2 linked regions of the Alligator mississippiensis genome follow. Each later gene encodes a partner of the first gene's protein in a complex. Links are inferred from orthologs where the notes say so. Each region holds a gene or a part of one and is shown in the gene's direction. Other genes may lie near its edges.

Region 1 (10,193 bases):
AGTACAGCTGTGTGTATGTGTGCCCATCTGTGTTTTTTCCATGCATGTCTCCTACCTCTCTGTGTGTTTGTGTCTCTGTCCACCTGTCTACCCCTGCCCATATCTCTGTGTGCATCTCTGGGCCTCTGTCCCGCTGCATCTTCTCATCCTGCTGCCCATGCGGCTCTGCTGGGAGCGTGTCGACTAAGCCAGCTGCAGGCATGGCTCTCTATGCAACGCTTAACCCAGGCAGCCTGGAGCCACAATCACTCTAGAAAGGCAGCAGCATGTGCTCAGGGGCCCCCAAGAGCTGCTATGGAGTTGAAGCCTACGAGCTGTGCTACAGTATGTGTGCTAGCTAGGAGAGAACAGGCAGTGCAAGGCTTGGGTGGGCATGCTGTGGTCATGCCATGCTCTGCTGTGCAGACCTCCCCGCTGGGGCTCCTCTGTGTCTGGCTCCAGCGCAGTCTCAGTGGTGGCTCCCTCATGGCTCTTCTTTCCCTCTGCACAGCAGGAGATGCAGGCCGTGGACCACCAGCTGGCACGGCAGCTGATGCAGCTGCGAGGGCAGATCCACCGGCTGAAGGTGGAGCAGGCCTGCCACCAGCACAAGGAGATGCTGGACGATGCCACCTTCGGCCTGGAGGGCTGTGAGGAGGACTCAGACCTGCTCTGCAACATCCCACCCAAAGCTGCCTTCCTCCTTTCCACGCCGCTCAAGCACATCGGCGTCACCCGCATGAACATCAACTCCCGCCGCTTCTCCCTCTGCTGAGGCTGCCAGGCTCCCCCAGGCTGTCGAGGGGCACCGCCTGGCCCTGAACGTGGGCAGCTGTACCACGCATCCCTGCAGAGACGCTCAGGCTGAATGTAAGAACCCAACAGGCAGGTTAGAGGGAAAACAGTGCGGGGTTGCAGTATTGCAGGCTGCTGGCTCTGGCATCCTGCTGCCTTGCTTGCTCCTATTGCCCAGAGGTGCCTCATCTCTCCTTGCTGAGTGTCCCTTGTTGGCGATACTGCAACAGCTTGCTTGAAACCAGACCTGGCAAGACTGGGCCAGGGCTGCCCTGATCGCCTGGGACCTGAGGCATGGATGGAGCTGGGGAAGTTGGACTCGCCTCACTTCTGTCTTCAGTCCTCAGCTCAATCCCTTGCAACTGGAGGGATGTGCGCTGCAGAGGCTGGCGGGCAGCAGGGGAGCTGAGCCCTGCCTACTGCCATCACATTTGGCCTATTGGCTGCCTCCTGTTGCCCTGCGGTGGCTTTTGCCCTCTCGCTCCTCAGTCCCTGCTCCTGGGGGGTCTCTGCTGTATGGAGCAGCATCTCCAGGATGCACAGAGCTCTGCATTTGCCATAACCCCTGAGCCTGCACAAGGTGAGCAGCCCTGCAGCCATGTGGCGTGCACAAGGCGAGCCAACTGTTCCCAGCAGCATGTGATGCTGTCATGGGAGGGGAGGGAGCATCGCTGCTGGAGCATCTGCGGCTGCAGTGACGCATGCCACGTTGCTGGAGGCTGCTTGCTGATGCTGAAAAGCATGAGCAAACTTTCCATGCAGCAAGAAGAGAAGGCGGTGCAAAGGCGGCTTGCCTTCTGTGTGTCGCATGTGCTAGTGGCCTCCTTGCCGCCCCCAGACTTGTCTGATCCCAGGCTTGCACAGACGGGGCCTCCCTCCCCTGTGCCACACACCTACGTCGAAGCCCCTACTGCTGGCCTGACTCGGCCTGGGGATTACTTCTGATCAAGCCATCTAATCCATATTCCCCCAGCCTTGCGCTGAGTGGGCCAGTCCCCTCCCCCTCCACGCTGCTTCTTGGTAATGGCGGAGGAAAAAGGCGGCGAGCACCTTGGGTTTGTCGCTTGCTTCCGCTACACGCTGCTGTTTCCATTTGGTTTTGCTGAGGCCTCAGATGAGAGGGGTGCCGGCTCTATGGGGAGCCGGTGAACAGCCCCACCGAAGCAGGTGCCTTTGTTTGGCCACATGCATGGCAGCTTCTGTGTTTCATGTTCTCTCCGGCTTGTGTGATGACTTACCCGCAGCTGGGAGACTTCGGGTTTTTTTTCCTCAGCCCTGCAGGGGCTTGCAGTCCCCACCCTGACCCCTTGTTTGGGAAGCTGATTTTTCCAGGGAACGTTTGTTCCTTTGGCTGAGAGTGATGAACCCTGACTTGACACTTTGCCGCGGATCTTGGAGCACGGTGCCAGATCTGTGGAAGCTCACAGCCTCTGCTGAGGGCCATCGACCAAAGAGGGAGGCTGCTGCTGATGGAGGCATGGGTTGAAAGTAGTACAGCCTGCTCCAAGACACCTGCAACTTGGGGACAGAGCTGGGAGGAGAATCCAGGGGCCCTGTGTCCTGGCCCCCTGCTCGGCTCAGACCCTTAGTGAAGGAGCTGAACCCTGAAACCCTGGCTGCAAATTTTCAGCCCTAAGTCCCGCAGCTTCTGTTAGAACAAATTGCTGCTGGTGCAGCGAAGAAGCCTGCTAAGGATCTTCTGGCTCCAAGCCTTCAAAGAAAATACAGGAAGATTGTCAGAGCTTCACAACACTGAGATCCCATTGACCTTTTTCAAACAAAAAAGCGTTCTTATTTTGCCTTGAAAAATGGACTGAGTCCCTGTCCCTCCCCGCCCCGATGCTTTATCATAAAAGCAGTCAATATTTTTGCCATTTTTCAGTGTTTTTGATGATAAAAGAGGATGCTAGATTTTTTTTTTAATGATCTGTGCTGGCAGATGGGAAGTGGGTGCTGATGGTTTTGTCGCTGCTTTCCAGTTGCAGAGAGGCTGAAAGCCTGACATATCCTTCGCAAAGCGAACCTGTCTTTTTTTGTACAGTTGCCATAACAGCAATAAAAATGATTGATTGATGCTTTGATGGTATTTATTTATTTTTTGGTCCTGAAATATCCTAAAGCGGGTTTGCAAACTTTTACGCCATGCAAGAGGCTTGTTTTGCCTACCACTGAAACACAGCCTGCTTTGGGGTGGGTCAGAGCAGCATGTTAACGAAGCAGAGCAACATTAGGACAGGAAGTGAAGCTGAAACCACATCCAGTCAAACTGGGAGAGGAATTCAGGTCTGCAGGTACATGAGCAGGAGTCTGGACAGGATGCCAAGTTGCTAGGTCAGCTGGGTGGAAGTGCTGAATTGAGGGTGTTTTAATCATTGCCTCCTGCTCAAACTGCCCTTTCCGCTAGCCCCCTGGAGAAGTCTCTCCGAAGACAGCTAGCCAGAGCCCAAGCTAGAGCAACATCCATACGCGCGTTGCTGCCTGTGGGACAATTGCTGGCATAAAGATCGCAGCTGGGCTATGGGGAAGATGGAGGCGCTTCACTCCTACGGTTGCCCTTGTTGTTCAAAATGCCCCTGACATGTGCCCGGGCATATCGCCCTGTATGGAGGTCGTGGCCCCCCCGTCGAGCCTCTCTCCCCTGTTGCTCTGTGTCATATTCTCTTGACTTCCTGCCTTCCTTCTTGCAGAGCTGGCTGTTGGTACCTGTGGCTTTGCATTTGATCTCACAAGCCAAGACAATAGCTTTGTGGTTCTCGTGCTGTCAGCACTGGCAGAGCGTAGGGCTTCGGAAAGGTAACATGGAGTGCCTCTGAAGACGATGTCTTCGCTGCTCAGCCCCTCTCTGGAGAGGAAAGAAGAAAGCCAAGCCCTTGCTCTCTGTCAGAGAAGGCTGGCTCAGTTCCCCTGTGGCTCATTACCTGCCTCTCTCACGGCCTGGCATATGTTTGCTCTCTGGGTGGCGATTCTGGAGATGCGTGTCCTGGTGCCTCTGCCACCGACTGGCTGTGTGACCCTGCCCATGTTCCTTCCTTTTTCTGTGCCCCTGTTTCCACTCCCACCTTTTATTTTTCCCCTTCTTTTTAGTCTGCAAGCATTGCAGGGCAGTGGGTTTTCTCTCGCACCATGTGTGCAAAGTTTGGGGCTTTGTGCAAGTGGTGAAAGATGAGGTATGATGGAGGACTGCTGGGGAAGAGAAATTCTGTTTCATTTCTCAACAGAAGGCAGGCTAGATTTACATCTTATAGACTAAGTTGGAGATAAGCTTTTGGTAAGCACAGGGCTCTCTCACTTATTGACACTGGGCTTTCAGGACATGTTCACACCTCTGAACCCTTCACCCTCCTTGGCCTTGTCTACCAAAGTCCAAGCAGAACTGCTGAGTTAGCAGCCAAGCTGCAGCTGCTTGTGGTCTGCTCTTGGTGGTGTGTTCAGGCCCTGGTACTTAGCACATCACCCAGTCACCGTGCAGGACGTGAGTCAGGGGTGCATTTTGCTCTGTCTGCTGGTAACGGTTATCACTTGTGCGGTACAGCACAGAGTAGGGGGAGATCATGACATGGAAAATGATTCGGCTGTCCTGCTACAGCTCCAGGGGCACAAGTTCAAGTCTTATTCTGGACGCATGCCAAAGGCTGCCCCTTGTCAACCAAGGTGGGTATGGGCACTGGACCATTCAGGCTGGAGAATCATTAGGATTGTGTGTTTTGGGTAGGGGGACAGACTGGCTTTGATCTTGTTGAGAGTATTGGCATCATTATGCTGGACATTGTGCTGGGACCTTGGATTCGTGGCAAAGATAAAGAGACCCCTTTAACAGGAGAGCAAGGCCAGCGCCGTGGTGAGGGAGCTATCCAGGGACTCGGGGTCAATTCCCTGCTCTGCCACGTGGGGCTTGTGTGACCTTGGTCATGTTGCTTAGCCCCCCACCTATGCCTCAGTTTCCCGAGGGGAAATGGCACCTTCTTACCTTGCAGGGCTGCTTATCCTCAGTGATGCCGGGGACTGGGGCCATGTCAGGGCCATGGAGAGAGTTCCAGTTTTGTGTGCATCAGGGCATAGTCACCCAAACTTGGATCTTTTAAACTTTTGCATTGCCCTCCTGATATGCGCAGCATATCACTTGGCGCCTAATTAGGATGTAGGCCAGAATTCACCCCCACACTCCTACCTTCCCCCACATGTGCACTCTTAACATCCTCTCTTTACAAGACCAGCCGAAAGCATCTGCAGTACGCCGGGTGCTGCATGTCTCTCACTGGACTTCCCTGCGGGGTGGTGGGTGGCAGCAGGAGTCACAGCCAACACCTGTGTCGGCAGTGGGGAGATGATACCCAGGCAGTGACGGTGCCCCTCTGTACCGGCAGCTTCCATCTTTAGAATGACGGGCCTGCGGATGGCAGGAAACCTCCCTCGCTAGCATGCTGTGGTCGGGCGAGTGCTGAGAACAAACTTCTAGAGCTTGCTCATGAGATTGCAGAAGGCAGGAAATCAGGGAAGGCAGAGTGCGAGAGCGAGCGAGACCGTGCTGCTGCCATTCCCTGATGTGAGGACAAGCTGGGCTGCTGTCCGGGAGGTTGTATCCATGGTCTACACCCCGAGGATGGAGACTAGCATGTGACTGGGAAGGTGCTTTCACTCACTGGCCATGGAGATCTAAAAGCAGCTCAGCTCCATCTCACAGCAAGCAGGTAAGGGAAGGGCTGGGGCCGTGTTGGGTGAAAAGAGCTGTGCCTTCGGGCTGGGATCTGGGGATTGCTGTCATGAGCGGGCACGGAGTGGCACTGGGGTCTGTGCCAGCTCTTCCCTGGCTGGGAAGCGATGGTTCCTCTGGGGAAGAACGACATCTTTGGGGAAGGACTTGCTTTTTGGTGGGGGTGAAGTGAGACTATAAAATGGGAAATGAGTCCATCACTATGGTATCAGGCCAGTACACAGAGGAGTCTGGCTGCTTAGGCTGGTCGCGGTTGGGGTACGGGGTCCTGTTTGAAAGACCTTTGGACTGAAAGACCCATGTTTGCCGTTGAGCTGTTTGAGTTCTTGAGTTGCTGCCTCTAACACAAGCCCTCATCTCCCTGCCAGCCCTCCCCAAATCCTACTAAAACTGCTTTCTAAGGGGATCCCCAGAGGGACTGTCCCCAGCTGGAGTGAGGGTGAGGAGTCTAGTGAGTCACTGCTTCCAAAGTCCCAACTTCCAGGGCAAAGCGAGGAGGAAAGCTGGGAGTTGTGCCCTGAAACGTCAAGCGCTCTGTCTAATCTGCCTTGGATCTCCCCGTTCCTGAGCTGCCAGCCTTGAAGCTGGGAGCAGGCTGGAGGGTCTGGTTGGTATGGGGCTGTTTTGTCTTGGAAGTGAGGAGCAGGGCAAATCCGTGTCTGCAGTGAAAGGTCACTGAATTACCCCTGGCTGGTATTGTGGTCTATAGCTTCTTAAATGCAGACTCAGTGCAGAACTGCCTGCTTGTCTGAGTTCAAACCCAAATGCAGCTGCAAACCCAGGCTGTGTCCAGTTCTCCAAGCTGCCCCCTTTGAAGTTGCCTCTCTGCTGACCCCAAGCCACAAGAAATAAGAGAAGGGACCAAGGGGCAAAATTCAAGCTGTGTGGATCCAAGATTTCGAGTCGGGACCATAGACGGGGTAGCTTGGCAGCTGTGAGCCTGAGGCTGCTCAGACTGTTATCCGGTCCCCCTGGTCTTGCAAAATATTCTGGGAACTGGATCTTTTGGGGCTGACCTCACTGGTCATATGAGAGACACGGGGGTCATTCCTGTGGGCAAATCGGTACTGTCCGAGGCTGAGGGTTGTCTTTTGTGGTGAGCAGTGACTACACTGACTGCCGCGTTTGCTTTTTAAATGTGGGCGCTGTTGTCCTTGGTCAAAGCAAGGCTACTGCAGCATGCTTCGATCGGGGGTGTGGGTCAGATGAGAGAGGACCACAACATTACTGGACATCCCTGGCATATGTTCAAGGGAAAATAGTTTCTCTCGCCTTGCCATGCTCCACCTCCAGCACATTCCTCCTGAACCAGGGGGCCCAGCCCGATCCAAGGAGAGAGGTGTTCCCGCTCCCCACCAAGTCTCACCCGGGCTTGGCATGAAGACGCATAGAAGTGCAAACACGCACACGGATTCGAAGACAGATGCCATCATTCAGATAAACACATAGCCCTGTGACTGTCAACCAGGAGATCCTTTTTGGGTGTTTTGCAATATTAGCGCTGTTAAGTGTGCAAGCACCTACCCACGGGTCAAAGGCGAACCCAGCCATTCCCGATAGGAATCCACAGTGTCAAACCCATCCTGCCCTGCTGCAGGCTTTCCAAGCTCTTTGCAGCAGAGAAATGGCTGCCTTATTTTTCTGCAGTCAAAAACACGAGTGCAAGTTAAGAGCTGGCATTTTCTGAAGGGGGCCTCAAGTCGAACAGGCTGGAGAACCAACGATGCAGTTGCACAAATGCGCCCGGAGGCAAGCAGAGATGCACACACACCCAGAAGAAACAAGGGCAAACACGGACAGATGAGCACACACAGTCGCCCAGACAACTGTGCAGAGCTGCAAACCCACGGGGACCCGCACGTACATGGGACCGAAGCTAGGCAAACACACAGACGCAGGCATGCACGCCCCCCCACAAACTGACACCAAACTTCAGTTATGCAGGCAAAGCCAGTCACCAGAGAGAAACAAAACAGACTTCAAAGTAGCCCCAGGTGCTGATCAGGTGATACAGCTCCTCTGTGGAAATTATTTTGTGGCTTAAGCAAGAAAGACAAAAAGAGTCGTGTCCCCGTCCCCCCCCCTCCGCCCCGACTCCTGATTCTCATAGGAAGGGGGGCACCCCAAGCGTGGCATCATCTGCATTTCGCTCACAGTCATGTTTCAAATGCTTGATTGTATCTCTAGGGGATGCTGTTTGAGGGAGTTGCTTTTCTTCCACAAGGGTGGATATTTCTTCGATTTTTCCACCCCTCTCTTGCTAAATGGGAGATACAGAAGTTGCATCTGCCTGGCTCTCCGGTAGTCCGTGGGGTGCCTTTTACAAGATGAGGATCTAGCATCTCCTGCATTTCTCCAGAGCAGCGGTTCTCCACCTTTTCTGTACCAGGACCCACTTGTAAACATCGATGGCCAGTCCTGACCCAGTGCCCCTCGCTCCCAACCTGCTGCCCCACTCCAGGCCCCCAGTGTGTGGGGTAGAGGGTGGGTATGGGGGGCCCCAAGCAGCCCCTTGCAGGCTGGAGCTCTGTCAGCCTGCAAGGGAAAAGCCGTGGTTTCTTCTCCTATAAAGGAGAATCCATTTTTAAAGTTTGTTCATGACCCTTTCACACATTCTTGCAACCCACTTTTGGGTTGCAACCCACTTTTGGGTTGCGACCCACAGGTTGAGCAACGCTGCTCTGGAGCACTTTTTTGGAAGCCGACCTGGCCAAAGTGATGGGGCGCTGTGCCTTTCACTTCTCGGGAAGAAAGGCCCGAAGGCCGCAGTGCTGGTGGTGGCGGCGTTACTTAATTGCATCTGTTTTCCCTGGTGCTGGTGGAAGACTCGTTGTGTTGGAGTCGGGGCAGAGGAGAGGTGCCCGAGATGGGCATGAAGAGCTTTCTCTGCCTTACTTGCAAAGACCAGAGGAGCTGGTTTATGGCAAAGGGAGATTTTTTTTCCCCCCAAGTGTTAATTAGGTGTTAGTGAGAATAAAACCCCCCAGCTTCTGTTCCTAACACCTTGGATTAAAAAAATTAATTAAATCGTTCCCTTTAGGTCCTGACCCCCCCCAGCTTCTGTTCCTAACACCTTGGATTAAAAAAATTAATTAAATCGTTCCCTTTAGGTCCTGACCCCCCCCAGCTTCTGTTCCTAACACCTTGGATTAAAAAAATTAATTAAATCGTTCCCTTTAGGTCCTGCCTGAACTAGAGCTTTATGTCAGGGCTGAACTTGGCCGTCTCCTAGACCCTGGTTGATGCACAGAGCCCCCTCCGTTGTGTGCTGTTTAGGAGGACAGAGGTTGGGATACTCAACACAAGGCCATGGCTCACATAGCCCAGAACACATAGCATGTTGCCGCTTTCTAATTTAGGATACTCAAACTTTGTTGGATCTACGGAGGCCTTACTCCCCTGACCATGTGGGTCGCTCAGCAAGAGCTGCTATTTCATGGGTACTTCCAGGCTGTGTGGGTACCCTCTGCTTTTTCTGCTCTCTTTTGCCTTTGTTATGAAGCAGTAGGTTTCTGAAACTGCGGGAGGATGAGTTTCATGATGTTTTCTCCCATTTCCACCCAAAGCAAACAATGACTGATTTATAAAAAAAAATAAAATAAATAAAAAAATAGGAAAAAAGGCGGGGGGGGGGGGGGGGGGGGGATTCTCAGGCAAGAACCAAGAGGTGGTTGAAAACAAATGCAGCGCAATATTGCTGCGACGTTTCGCGTCCTTCCCAGCAGGTGATGAATTCTCTTCTCCTTACTCGGCGTCATCTGGGCTCCAATTTCCACTGAAGTCAATGGAAAGACTTTAGGCTACGTGTAGGATGGGCAGGCTCGGAGCGTCTCGCTTGTTGATGTACTCTTCCAGTGAACTTCCGCTGTCCTGTTCCCTTCCACAGAGCCGCCTCCCCCGTTACTTTTCTTTGCATGTAATCACACTTGTAAAACCAGAATTACTTGGGACGGAGAAAGACCTTTAGAGGCACAGCAGTAAGTAGACCCCTTATCTCTCGCTGAACGCCATTGAGAGTTTGAAGTCGGGGGGGAATGTAGGGCACGGTGACACCTTAAGACAAACTGGTTCAAAGAGGCATGATGCCTCCGAACCGGTTGGTCTCTAAGGTGCCCCCTGCCCTGCCTTGGAAAATCTCCCCTGTTGTCTGCATCTGAACAGGCCTGCAGTGGGTAGAAAGGGGGTGGAAAAACAGGTACATCTGAGCTGTCTGCACAGCTGCACTGCTTTGTTTTAGAACAAAAGCTACAAGATCAAGGATAGCGTTTTCAAAAGCAGCTGCTGATTTTGAAGCGCTCCAGTCGGTGGCACCTGGGGGACCCTAGATTTCAGAGGGGTTGAACTCGGGCAGCTTGCGGGGACTTTGTTCAGAGTTGTGGGCTCTTGGCATCTCTGCAACTTGGCCCCACTTGTCTTGAGATGGGTTTCTAAGAAGGAAAACATCCTGAATGAGAGCCCACTTTGGAAAAACTGACTCAAATTGTATAGCCCCCGCGCCCGAACATGGCTTCAGCAGGCTAGCAGCATTGCTGCTCTTTCTAGCTGGGGGAAACGCCTGCTGGGACCAACTCTTAGCATTTTATTCCCGCGGGGCTCATGATTTGTATTCATTCTTCAAACGCAGGCTTATGGAATTGAGAGAACATCAGGCTCTTTGCTTTCATGGAAACAGCAAGGGTCTAGCCCTTAGAATAGTTGCCAATAAAGG
Region 2 (11,070 bases), on another chromosome or scaffold:
ATTCACAGGGCTGGGCCAGGTCATGGGGCAACAGAAGCCCTGTGGCTGGTCCAGAGGTGTGGGTGGGTGGCTCCCGCCACTGCACACACTATGGGGAAGCCAGGGGAGAGGGGGCACATTTCCCCCCCTTGGCTCCCCTGTGCCATGCCCCTGGATGAGTTGCCGGGCTCTGATTGTCCCACGACCCAGCCTGGCCGGGGCTGGGTCGTGAGACAATTGGAGCCCAGCGGCTCCTCCAGGGGCATGGCGCCAGAGAGCCAAGTGGGGCACGTGGCCCCCTAATCTTTGCGCAGGGCTATAGCTGTGAGCTGCACTCTGCCTGCTCCATGCCTCACTGCTGCCTTTGAAAGCAGCATGGTGCAGCACCATGTGCCTCACTGCCCGGCCTACCCAGCAGTGGGACTCTCATGGTGCTGCACCACGCTGCTTTCAAAGGCAGCAGCGAGGCATGGAGCAGGCAGAGTGCAGCTCGCAGCTGTAGCCCGCCTTTGTCCCGTACAAAGATGAGAGGCCAGTGCTCCCCTTGGCTGCTAAGTGCCCTGCCCCTAGAGGAGGCGCCAGGCTCCTCCTGGGGAGGATGGGGGTGGGCACAGGGCTCCCATGGGCTCCATCCCCTCCGGCCCAGCAGTGCAGCCGAAGCTGACCCCATAACCAGCCCCCCTGGGCAGTGCAAGGCCGGAGCCGGGCCCAGTGTGGGGCAGTGAATCACAGGGCTACTGGTACCGAGCAATGACTCCAGGCACAGGGGAAGGAATGGGCACAGCAGGCTCTGGCCCTGGCCCCAATCCCAGGCCCAGCTCCTCTCCAATCCTTGCCCGGTCCCAGCCCCATTCCCCCCACCCCTACATGGCCCTTTCCCCGCAGACCTTCCTGTGTGGGGGAGTGTGTACACCTGCACATGCATGCTCAGCCCCCCCCCAAAAATGTTTCTCCTTCTGTCTGAATAGAAGTTCAGTACACATAAACCAATTTCAAAATGGATGAAACTGGTTTAAGATAAACCTGGTTGAATGTAGTATATTAGACTTAACTGATTTGGGCCAAACCAGTTTATGAAACTTTTGTCCCAGACCCCTTCCTGGTTCAAGTTAAATCACAGTCCCCAAGCATGCTTTCTAGCCTTGGGCTGGGCTGGGCTGGGCTGTCTGCTCCAGCAGAGAAGGGTTTGGGCAGGGATAGGGTTACCATATTTCCAGGTCCAAAAAAGAAGACACCTGTCGGGGAGGGCAGGGGGAATATGATGGTGGGGAGGGCAGTGACATGCTGGTGCCCTGCCCCTGCCCATTCTGTTGCCCCTCACTGATAAGCCACACCCCTCCAGCCCCGCTGCTGCCCCTCACTCTGCACCCACTGACCCCAACCCTGCCAGTGCCCCTCACTCCCAAACAGCAGTACCCTGCCCCCCACCCCTTACTGGTGCCCCTTACTCCTGACCCGCTCTGCCAGTGCCCTGCACACCCAACCCATACTCACCTGTCTTGTCCCCCGTGCCCCTCACTCCTGACCCATAGCCCGTCCCCCCCAGCACTGCCAGTGTCCTGCACCCTGGACCCACAGCCCCTTCTCCCCCAGCCCTGCTGGTGCCCCTCACTTCTGACCCGTAGACCCCTCCCCACCAGCCCTGCTGCCCAAGCAGCTCCCGCATTACGCGTGTGCCTTCTCTCTCTCTCTCTCTCTGGCTTGCAAGAGCCCATGCAGGAAGCATGTGAACCCTGATAGCCAATCACCTTGCCTGCTTCTCTCAACCCCAAGCAGCCAGACCAGGAGAGCAGAAAACCTGGACATTTGCTCTTATTTTAAAAACCCACCTGGGTGCAACACAAGGGTCCAAAAAAGAGAACATGTCTGGGAAAACCCAATCATATGGTAACCCTAGGCAGGGAGAGGCAGAGACTGCACCCCCTCCCCCCCGCAAGGCAAACCTCAGCTGGGGTCTGAGGCCAGGGAGAGGGGTTAAACCCACCTTGCCCAGAGTACAGAGCTGCCCTGCTGCTAAACTTCATGAAACTTACTGCTAGCTGTGACTGTGGACTACAAATCCCAGAGGCACCTGGTAGCAGGAAGAGGGAGTGATGAGCAACCCTGCAGAATCCTGCTGCTGTGATTCTGGACTGCAAATCCCAGACACCTTGGAGGCAGCAGGAAGAGGAAGCAAACACACAGCCCATGCTGGCTATGTGCCAGAGAGGCGTGTTCTAGTGCCCCTCAGCTTCTGGTCTGAGCCACTGCAGGCATGTGGTTGAATTTCCTGAATCAAAAGTAAATGTGTGTCCAGTTGTTTCTCAGTTTAATCTCTGCAATTTAGACAAACCTGCAAAGACTGAATTGATTCAGCCTCAGGCTTTTTAACTGTCTGTACTTAGCCCAAGTGATTGTGACAATCCAGGCCCAGCAAAGTGCTTTGATTTACAACCTGTTTACATAACTGCTGGCCTAACCCAACTCCCATAAGAGTCAGTGGAGAGATTCCACCCACTCGCGTGCAGTCTGTTCCCCACCTGCACAGAAGAGGTAGAAAATATGTATGTGCTTCCTATTTTGGTAGAGCAGCATGATCAAATGCTCTGTGTTTCCACTTCCTCTGTATTCAGGAGAAGATTCCCAGAGTGAAGACAAGTAAGCCATGAATAAAAGCTGAGCAGGAAGCAGATCGAGTTTTATTACAGATGGGTTGGTGTGGATTCCTGGCAACTCCCCTGATATGGAGACAATCACAGCAGGTTTGCACCCGTGCAACTGAAATCAGCCACTAGCCCTTGCATGGAAGGATTGGCCTTTCTGTGGAATTATTATTATTTATTTATGTAGGGTCTGCTTTTATTAAAGCACTACAGTTTTTTCAGGTGCAGTTGTGGTTGTTGATAATACATGCAACTAAGAGTCCTGTTCCATTGTGCTCTGTGCTGTACAAAGACACAACTGAAATATGCTCCCTGCCCTAAAAGGTCGCAAGTCGGAGCAGATAGATGCAGACAGAAAGGAGTCATACATTTCTTCTGGTTAGACCCTTTTGATCTCCAAACACCTGATGTGTAGCTAAAATCAAGGAGTCAAATGGCTGCCCTGACTTCAGTTTAACCCAAGAGGGTTTGATTTTAAAAATCAGGTCCACAGCAAATGAATTAATTAAGGCCACTTTTGCAACTGCTGGCTGTTTGTCCTGTCCTCATTGCAACAAACATAAATGAACAGCACCCCCTAATGTCATTCACATTGCGTTTGTACCAGAGATGAACCAATCCACATTGCATAGTAAGCAGTGACAATGGACGAATGACATGAAGATTGTCTTCCTCATAAAAATGAGTCATAAAGTATTTCAGCAGATGACAACGCAAAGATAAAGGTATCCACAGAACTGTTAAGAACATGTAAAGTCCTGCTGGAAATAGCCAAGATGCATGGAATCCCATTTAAGTGATCAACTCTTCTGGATAGAGATCTGTTGTCTTATATTCTTGCCCAGTACTAGCCAGGAAACAGTGCTTTGGTATCCAGACATCACCAGCAGACTAACAATAGTATTTATTGGTAAGTGGACCTGGGAGAACTGGGGTATAGAGACCTAAGTATTGCATCAGTATCAAAGGATATGACACTAACTGTTATGACTTAGCTGTTCCAGTTGCATCCTCCTGTAAAAATACAGACATTGGCAATGTGTAGGGAGTGCACGCAGGTGCACATGCACCCCGAGCGTGCCGGTGCCCTCTGGAAAAAGGCACCACCAACACTGCCAGCGGCACTCGTGGGTGGTCACCGCTCACTATCCCCCCCTACCCCCCTTGCTGCCAACACCTCCAGCAGCATCTGCAGGAGGTCCATGATCGCCACTGGCCACCGCCGCCACTGCCAGTGGTGTTTGCGGGTAGTCACCGACCACTGATCGGCGCTTACTGCCGACAACGTCACAGCTGCCTGTGGGAGCTCCCCACTTACTGCCACCATGCTCCTGCTGCCAACGGCACTGCTACCTGCGGGAGCTTGCCTTGCCCCCCCCCCTCCCCCCAGCCACTGTGGGCATGCAGCGTTCATGAATACAGATGTCGTAAGACTGTTGTAACTTTAAACCTGTCGCATTCAGGTTCAACAGCAATCTAGTTCACTTGTATCATGCCAGGGTCTGGCAGCTGTAACAGCTACACCAGTGGGATCCAACCATTTGGCCCGATGCATGCAATGGGGCCAGTCTGCAGGCTGGATACATGATGGGGTCAACACACAGGGTAGGCCCCACGCGCCTGGATTGGGTACTGTGCTGCCCTAGCCTGGCCCCATGTCCTAGGATTTGGCCCTGTCCCACCCCAACCCTGCATATATCCAATTTAGCGCACAGGGCCATGCTATCCAGTCTGTCAAGTTCCCCACAGACCGCAGAGGAGCGGCAATTAACACTGCCACCGCTCCCCCCTAGCTGATCCGTGAGAAGCCCAGAGGGCCAGATGATGTGGCTCCATAGGCCAGATCTGGCCAGTATGCGGGGGGTTGACGCCCCTGAGCTACACCATGACAGCCGATAGACTCCCAAGCAGCAGCTCACCCTCCCCTTTTAAAGTGGTTAACAAGTATATTTGCCCATATCCTGATACTGTATATCCCCTTTAGGAAGCCCCTTCTAGTTTATCCATGACTCTGCTCCACTGTCAACAAATCCTTATACGTACCTCTCACTATGGCATTTGAATATGTAGAATATTAAAGTAACCGTATAGGGGTTTTTTTTTAAGTAAAAAAGTGTAATATAGGTTTGGTCTCCCTCCTAGAGATTGCATAAAACACTCCAAAATAAATACATTTTAGAGATTGATATAGCTATACCTCTGTCTCCATCCAAACTGATGCTGAACTAATGTAATAACACAGGGAACCATGTGAAGAACTCCAGGTGGTCTTTAACTCTATTTTAATTGGTTTATTGTGCTTTTCAAAGGATATTTTCACTTTAAGTTTGAGTCAGAGAGTTATAAAAGGGACAGCGCTGGACACAACTCAAGGCTCTCGATAGTAATTCTTGATCTACGTGTTTGCTGAGTACAAATCATAAATGTTTCTTCTTAATGCAAAACAGGTCACAGTTGTGTTGTATCTATGAAACATGTTTTCTCTTAATATTGCGAACATCTGTTACAGGCAGGCAGGAATTGGCATCACGTTTCATAGCTTCAAAGATGCTCACTTGTAGTGAGACCTGATGGAAAATTGCTTCCCCTTTCATTGAACCATCTCAGAAAAGACACAAATTAGAAAAAGCACGTGCACTCCAGATCCTTTCATGCCTGCTGAAATGGGGCCAGTCACTCAACATTGTGTGTTGCTTTTCTCAAAGATGTTGCATCAAAGTAGCAGCCATAGAAACAATCAAAAGCCAGCAGTGCTTCATTTCCAGCCTGAAAGGGAAATGCATGTTTTCATCCGAGCAGCTAATGGAAAAGCAGCTCCCCTGAGACCCCCTGCTGCACGATCGGTTGGCATTGAAAGAAAGGAACGTCAGAAGCAGCCATGAGAAGAAACAAAGGCTCCTGCAGCCCAAGTCAGCGCCTCTCTGATGTTGGGGAGTATCTGCTGTGCCACGCAAGGTCTCAGAAATTGTCACCCACCATCTGTCTGCAATGGCCCAGATACAGAAGGCAAAAGGCCCTGTGCAACATGTGCTCCACTTCTGGAGAGCGGAAGTCACGGTGGTTAAGAGACAAAAACCACAAGATGTGAAAAAAAACCACCAGCTTCATGGGACCTTCTTGGTGGGTTTCAAGCAGTGCAGACCCTCAGAGCTGCACAAAGCAACGTTAGCAAAGAAATTGCAAACATGAAAACGCTCAACTGAAGGCTGAACTAACGTACATGTCAGCCCTGTGTTATCTTGCATCTAAAGTATTCTTGCCAGGTCAGGAATATATTGCACAGCAGATGTGCAATGGCATGTTATAAGCCAGTGCATCAGTAGGGTACACATTGCATGGGTATCCTCCCTCACTATAGCACCCGACTGAGGCTCAGGATTACACAACAGATTTTCCATTGGGAATCTACAATTTAGGGTTTAAACCAGGGGTTTTCAACCCGGGAACTGTGATTATTCTGTTCTTCTGCATGGGTGAATCAAAAAGGGGGTCATAAAAAGTAGAAAACCACTGATCCAAGGCTCCAGTGCTCAAGTGTTTTTAGCATTTTGAATGGCACAAAGAAAAGGTGGAAAGATGATCACGTAGCTGACATATCATCCTTTAAAAAAGAAATCCAGACTCCATGAGTATATTTTACTTTGGGAGCTGAAAAACTTTTTTCTCTTTGTGGTCCCGCTGACATCACTTCCTTTCCACCAGGTCCTGTGAAGTCAACCCGGTGAGATCATCTCTTTCTGCCGTGCCTGCCTTGAGGACAGCCGATGCAAGGAGAAAATGGCCCGATCCCTTTTTTTGCTGTTTCTCCTCAGTCTGTGTGAGTATGGAACTGCTACTGAGCCCTTCTTCTAGAAGAGGAGTCAGGAGGAGTGGGAGGGCAGGGGGCTCCCTCCAGGTCCCCTGCAGAGTGGATGCCAAGCACAAGGGCAAGTGTCTGAGCACAGGGGGAAAGCAATCAGAGGCTCATTTTCCATTTAGTTGTTTTACAGAGATCCTGAGAGCGAGCAGAGAAAAGGGCCCAAGTCTAATCTTGGGCAGGCAGGGCTGGCAGCAGAGACACTCCATATGTGCACTGTCGGGGCTGAGCGCAGCACCTGACCGGGGTGGAGGGGCTGCGGGCTCTAAACACAAGCAGCACAAAGACACACAAAAAACTTGAACTCGTGGTTCCAAAATGATACCTCTTATTAGACCAACTGGAAAATAGCAATAAAATTGTCCTTTTCTGCAAGCTTTTGGGATCAAAGTCCCTTCATCAGACTCTGGGAAAAGTGTCGAAGGTACAAGATGGTAAAAAGTCCCCGTAGGTAGGAAATAAACTTCATTTTTGCACAGAGGGAGCTGAAGGTGGAAGGCTGTCCCTCTGGGTCCATGCGAGTGTCTTTGTGAGCTGTGTTATCATTTTGGAACCAAGAGTTCTAGCTTTTTGTACGTCTTTTTGTCTCAGACCAACACGGCTACCAAGTATACCCCTGAAGCAGCACAAATGCACTGTAAAGACCTGGTAAGGGTCACTTCCATACAGATGGCTCCTCTGAATGGGATGATCTTTGGGGGGACGGACAGCTGGTTTTAAGAAGCAGAGGGATTGCTGAGCACACTAGGACCACACTGATCCAACAGCATGCTGCCCTACTCAGAGGGGATCGAGACTTTGCCCAGGGGATGGGGCTCTGGGTTGGGATGGAGCGAGGATGCTGTCTCTTCCTTGGCAAGAGCTGTGCTGGTAAGTGCACTGGGTGATCTTCTCTCCCTCAGGCCACTGCAAGTGCCAGGGACAGATTCAGGTCAAACTCCTCAGCAACAGACCCATGAAGCCAGGAGACTCCGTGGAGCTGGAGTGTGTGATCACAGACAGCAGCTTGTCAGACAGCGGCGTGTCCTGGATGCACAAAGGCAAGGACTCTGTCCTCCGCTTCATCATGTTCATCTCTTCCATCTCCCGGGTGACACACGCAAGCAATAAAGACAAAGCACGCTATGTAGGAAGTAAAAAGCCCAGCACCTACGGACTGACTGTGAAGCCCTTTCAGGAGCAGGACCAGGGGGAATATTACTGCATTGTCAACCGGAACCAAATGCTGCATTTCAGCTCCGGGCAACAGGTCTTCCTGCCAGGTCAGCACCAGCCCCTGCCCTCAGTACCCTGCCAGCTGCATCCTTAGCATCCCAGTCACCACTGAAGTACCCTCCATCCCTTTTGTCTGGGAATAAGACAGAAAGAGAGACATGGGAGTCTGCTGCTCTTTGGAGCCTGTTCTGGGAACGTGGCCCTCAGGAGTTTCCTCCTCAGAGGAGCTCTTTGAGGAGGAGTTTCTGTCCAGATAGGCTGTGCATGGGTATCTGGGAGCTGAGCCTTAGACCCCTGGTTGAGGAGCAAGACTGGGGTGGAAAAAGGGTTGAAGATGGATTTCATCAGCCTCCTATTGTTCCTCCTATTGTTCCTTACAGTGCCTTCTACACAGCCGCCCACCACAACGGCAGCCACCACCACACGCATCACCACAACCCCAGCGATGACAACCTGCCCAGGCACCCAAAGTCCAGGTAAAAGCATCTTCATGCAGCTTTGGGGAGAAGGGCTGCAAGCTGGGATCCAGGTCTGGGGAGGTAGCTGGGCTGGGAGCAGCACCCTCCTGAAGCCCCTCTCCCAGCTACAGACTGGGAAGGGATTCCCATTCCTGGGATGTGGGTACTGGGGAGGTTGCTAGTATTTGACATGACATTGCTCCACATTTTTCTGGGTTGGCTCCAGATGGGCCAGCGGTGGCTTTCTCAGGCTGAAGAGAGTATTGCAAAGCAATTGCCACAGCTCAGGGCCTAGGGTGCGCAGGTATTCAAGAGATTGGGAAAGCTCTCATGCTTTGGTCATGCAGATCAGGGAGTGAGGGCCCATTCCCAAGTTCAGCAGGCTTTGGGCAGCGTGCTTTTCCAGCCTAGGGAACCAGACAGCTGGTTTACCAAACAAGTCACAGCAATATAATCCCTCCCAGTCACCTGCCCATTCCTCCCGGCTGTGAGCCCAGCCGGTAGCAACTTCACAGAGCATGGAAAATCCTGGATGATCCCTCCCAGGCATGAAGTGTATCTCATAGCTCTTTCTTATGCTGAATTGCAGCCATCTCCCCCCCACTACAGCTTCCTGCCACCCTCACCTCCAAAATCTGCCCCAAACCAGCCAGTGACCCAGTCGGGGAATCGCCAGAGCCCCTGCATGATCTGGCTGGTTCTGAAGTGCATGGGAGAAAGGCAGGGGCGTGGGACCAGGGCAGCGCAAAGAAAACTGCATGCCCCCACCTTGCTGGAGGCTGCTGCAGCTGTGCTGGGGATGATGAGCCTTGTTGCCAGCCTCTGGTTTATTTTTCGTTTCTGCTCTCTTTCCCTTCTCTAGCACTCACCCAAGACACATGGCTGAACTGTGACTTTTACATCTGGATCCCCTTAGCAGGCACCTGCCTCTTCCTCCTCATCGCCTTGCTGGCCACCATCATAACCTGTCAAAGTAAGAGAACCATCCCCTGTTTAAGACAGTCCCCCCTTCACCCAAAGGCAGACTGAAGTTTCCAGCAGAACAGGGACACATGGGGTAGGGGGCAAGGGGGTTGGCATTTGCAGCCACTTGCTTTGTAAAGAAACGCAGGCATTTGGCGCGTGCACTGTGCAAGTGGGGTGCCGTGCATCTGAAGAATGTAACAAAGCTAAACTTAATATTAGTGTTGTCTCCATGTATAAAGCCCTCCTGTAAAGTCCTCAGTTGCTAGAGAGCTGTATTGTCTAAAGAGGGATTAGACAATAGAGAAATATTAGAACCTTTTTTAGACTCAAGGCACCCGTGGAAATTGCCAGCTTTTTGTTTGCACTCCTTTTTTGCTGACAGAACAATACTAGAGCAATTCTTGTGGTGCAAAGAACTCAGGAAGGAAGGAAGACTGGTCTTGTCATTGTGACTTCTCATTTGAAAAGGCTGGGTTTCTCTCGTGAATCATATGTAGGTGTATGCCATAGCACCCCAGCTGAATCCCAGCTCTCACGAACGAGTAGAGGGAATTTATTACTCTATGACAAATTACACTGAGGCCATTACCTTGATATTGGTGCAACTATGCCCAGATGAGCCATTTAACTGTAACAGGGCAGAGACTGAGAGACATAAATCAGTGCAAATGCTCTGTCTAAACAAAGGTACAAAGGTAATCAATTTACAATTTATATAGCTGCATGGCGACAGAGTACTAATGGCAAAAATGTTCTGCCCAGACTGAGAGGCCCTGGCCAGTGCAGTCAAGGCATATCAGCGCCTACAACCGATAGCACACAAGGGAAGGAGGCGACTGCCATCGTGTCCAGCTCTCTCCGATTCCACCACCACAATACCCAGGCCCCCATTTACAGCTGGGTCAACAGGGGGCTTCAATCACTTAACCTTCATTGGTAAGGGCCAAGAGAAGCGACACTGATTTCTTTAACTAGGTTCAGTCCCTTTGTCAACCAATTTGCTAGTGACCTAAGCTAACTTGTCACAAATTGATTTAACTACTGACTGGGTGGCACCATTTCAAATCTATTTCAAACCTGATTGAATTAAACCAGTGAAATTCCCACATCAGATCAGCCCTGAGAAATACGAACTGCCAAAGCCCGAGAGTACCAAAGGCATAAACAATCCAGTAATAAGCCACCACTGTCTTGCATACGCAGTGCGATGTATAATACAAAATACTACTGAAATGTCTATCGCTGAAAAAAACCCTTCTGTTTCATCAAAGCAAGTGAGGACATATTAAGTCAGCACACAGCATCCAAAGTCTTTGACGCTTTCAATCCTATGCCCCAGGGTAGGACACCAGAACAGGCATTTTAGAAATCCAGCTAGCTGGAATATCGGCCGTCAGTTAATTTCTTTTTGCTCTTTATGCCGATTTGAAGTTTCGGTGAACATTCACTTGAAGCAATTATTTCTCCAATATACGAGTGGCATCGAGATCCCCCCCAGGAGAGAACCACCAGGGACACAAAAACTAGTTAGCCGCCAGCCCTGACCTATTTCTTTTGTTCTAAAATAACCGGCTCCATAACTGACAGTGTCGAATACATCCCTGGAGTAACCTTCAGAGAAGTTGGAGGAGTTGCACCAAGAATGACTCTGGATTAGTGTGCCAGGGCCCCAGTTGAAGTAAGGCAAAGGCAGCATAGCCCCACTGAACTCAATACAGCCATGCTGATTTACACCGGCTGAGAATTGGCCTCAATCTGTCTCTCAACCTCCTGGTATTTCTATAGAAGAGACTGATCCGGTGAAGCAGATGCAGCACGGAGGGCAACCGTGATGGTGCAAAACCTGATCTCAGCTCCATGAGTGTAACCTATTCAGGTCACTTGCCCACTGAATATTTACTCCTATTCCTGAATGAATGAATTTCTACCAGCTTCCCAAATCCATAGAGAGTGA

The links.
Region 2: the proteins of LCK (region 1) and CD8A are in contact, whole or in part, in an NMR structure (PDB 1Q69), measured with the Homo sapiens proteins. The link is inferred for Alligator mississippiensis from reciprocal best matches to the Homo sapiens genes LCK and CD8A. Residues at the interface, in NP_001036236.1 of Homo sapiens: Cys20, Asn22, Cys23, Tyr25, Pro26, Ile27, Val28; in NP_001139345.1 of Homo sapiens: Arg212, Arg213, Val214, Cys215, Lys216, Cys217.

Annotation. Positions count from the first base shown.
Region 1 is NC_081829.1:5,614,527-5,624,719, forward strand, and holds the start of LCK (tyrosine-protein kinase Lck), read left to right. Parts: upstream 1-5,121; 5' UTR 5,122-5,462; intron 5,463-10,193. Other genes in the region: protein FAM167B, read left to right, coding at 491-754. UniProt on the Homo sapiens protein: Non-receptor tyrosine-protein kinase that plays an essential role in the selection and maturation of developing T-cells in the thymus and in the function of mature T-cells. Plays a key role in T-cell antigen receptor (TCR)-linked signal transduction pathways.
Region 2 is NC_081825.1:14,440,894-14,451,963, forward strand, and holds the start of CD8A (T-cell surface glycoprotein CD8 alpha chain), read left to right. Parts: upstream 1-6,119; 5' UTR 6,120-6,398; coding exon 6,399-6,438; intron 6,439-7,379; coding exon 7,380-7,739; intron 7,740-8,072; coding exon 8,073-8,168; intron 8,169-9,012; coding exon 9,013-9,123; intron 9,124-11,070. UniProt on the Homo sapiens protein: Integral membrane glycoprotein that plays an essential role in the immune response and serves multiple functions in responses against both external and internal offenses. In T-cells, functions primarily as a coreceptor for MHC class I molecule:peptide complex.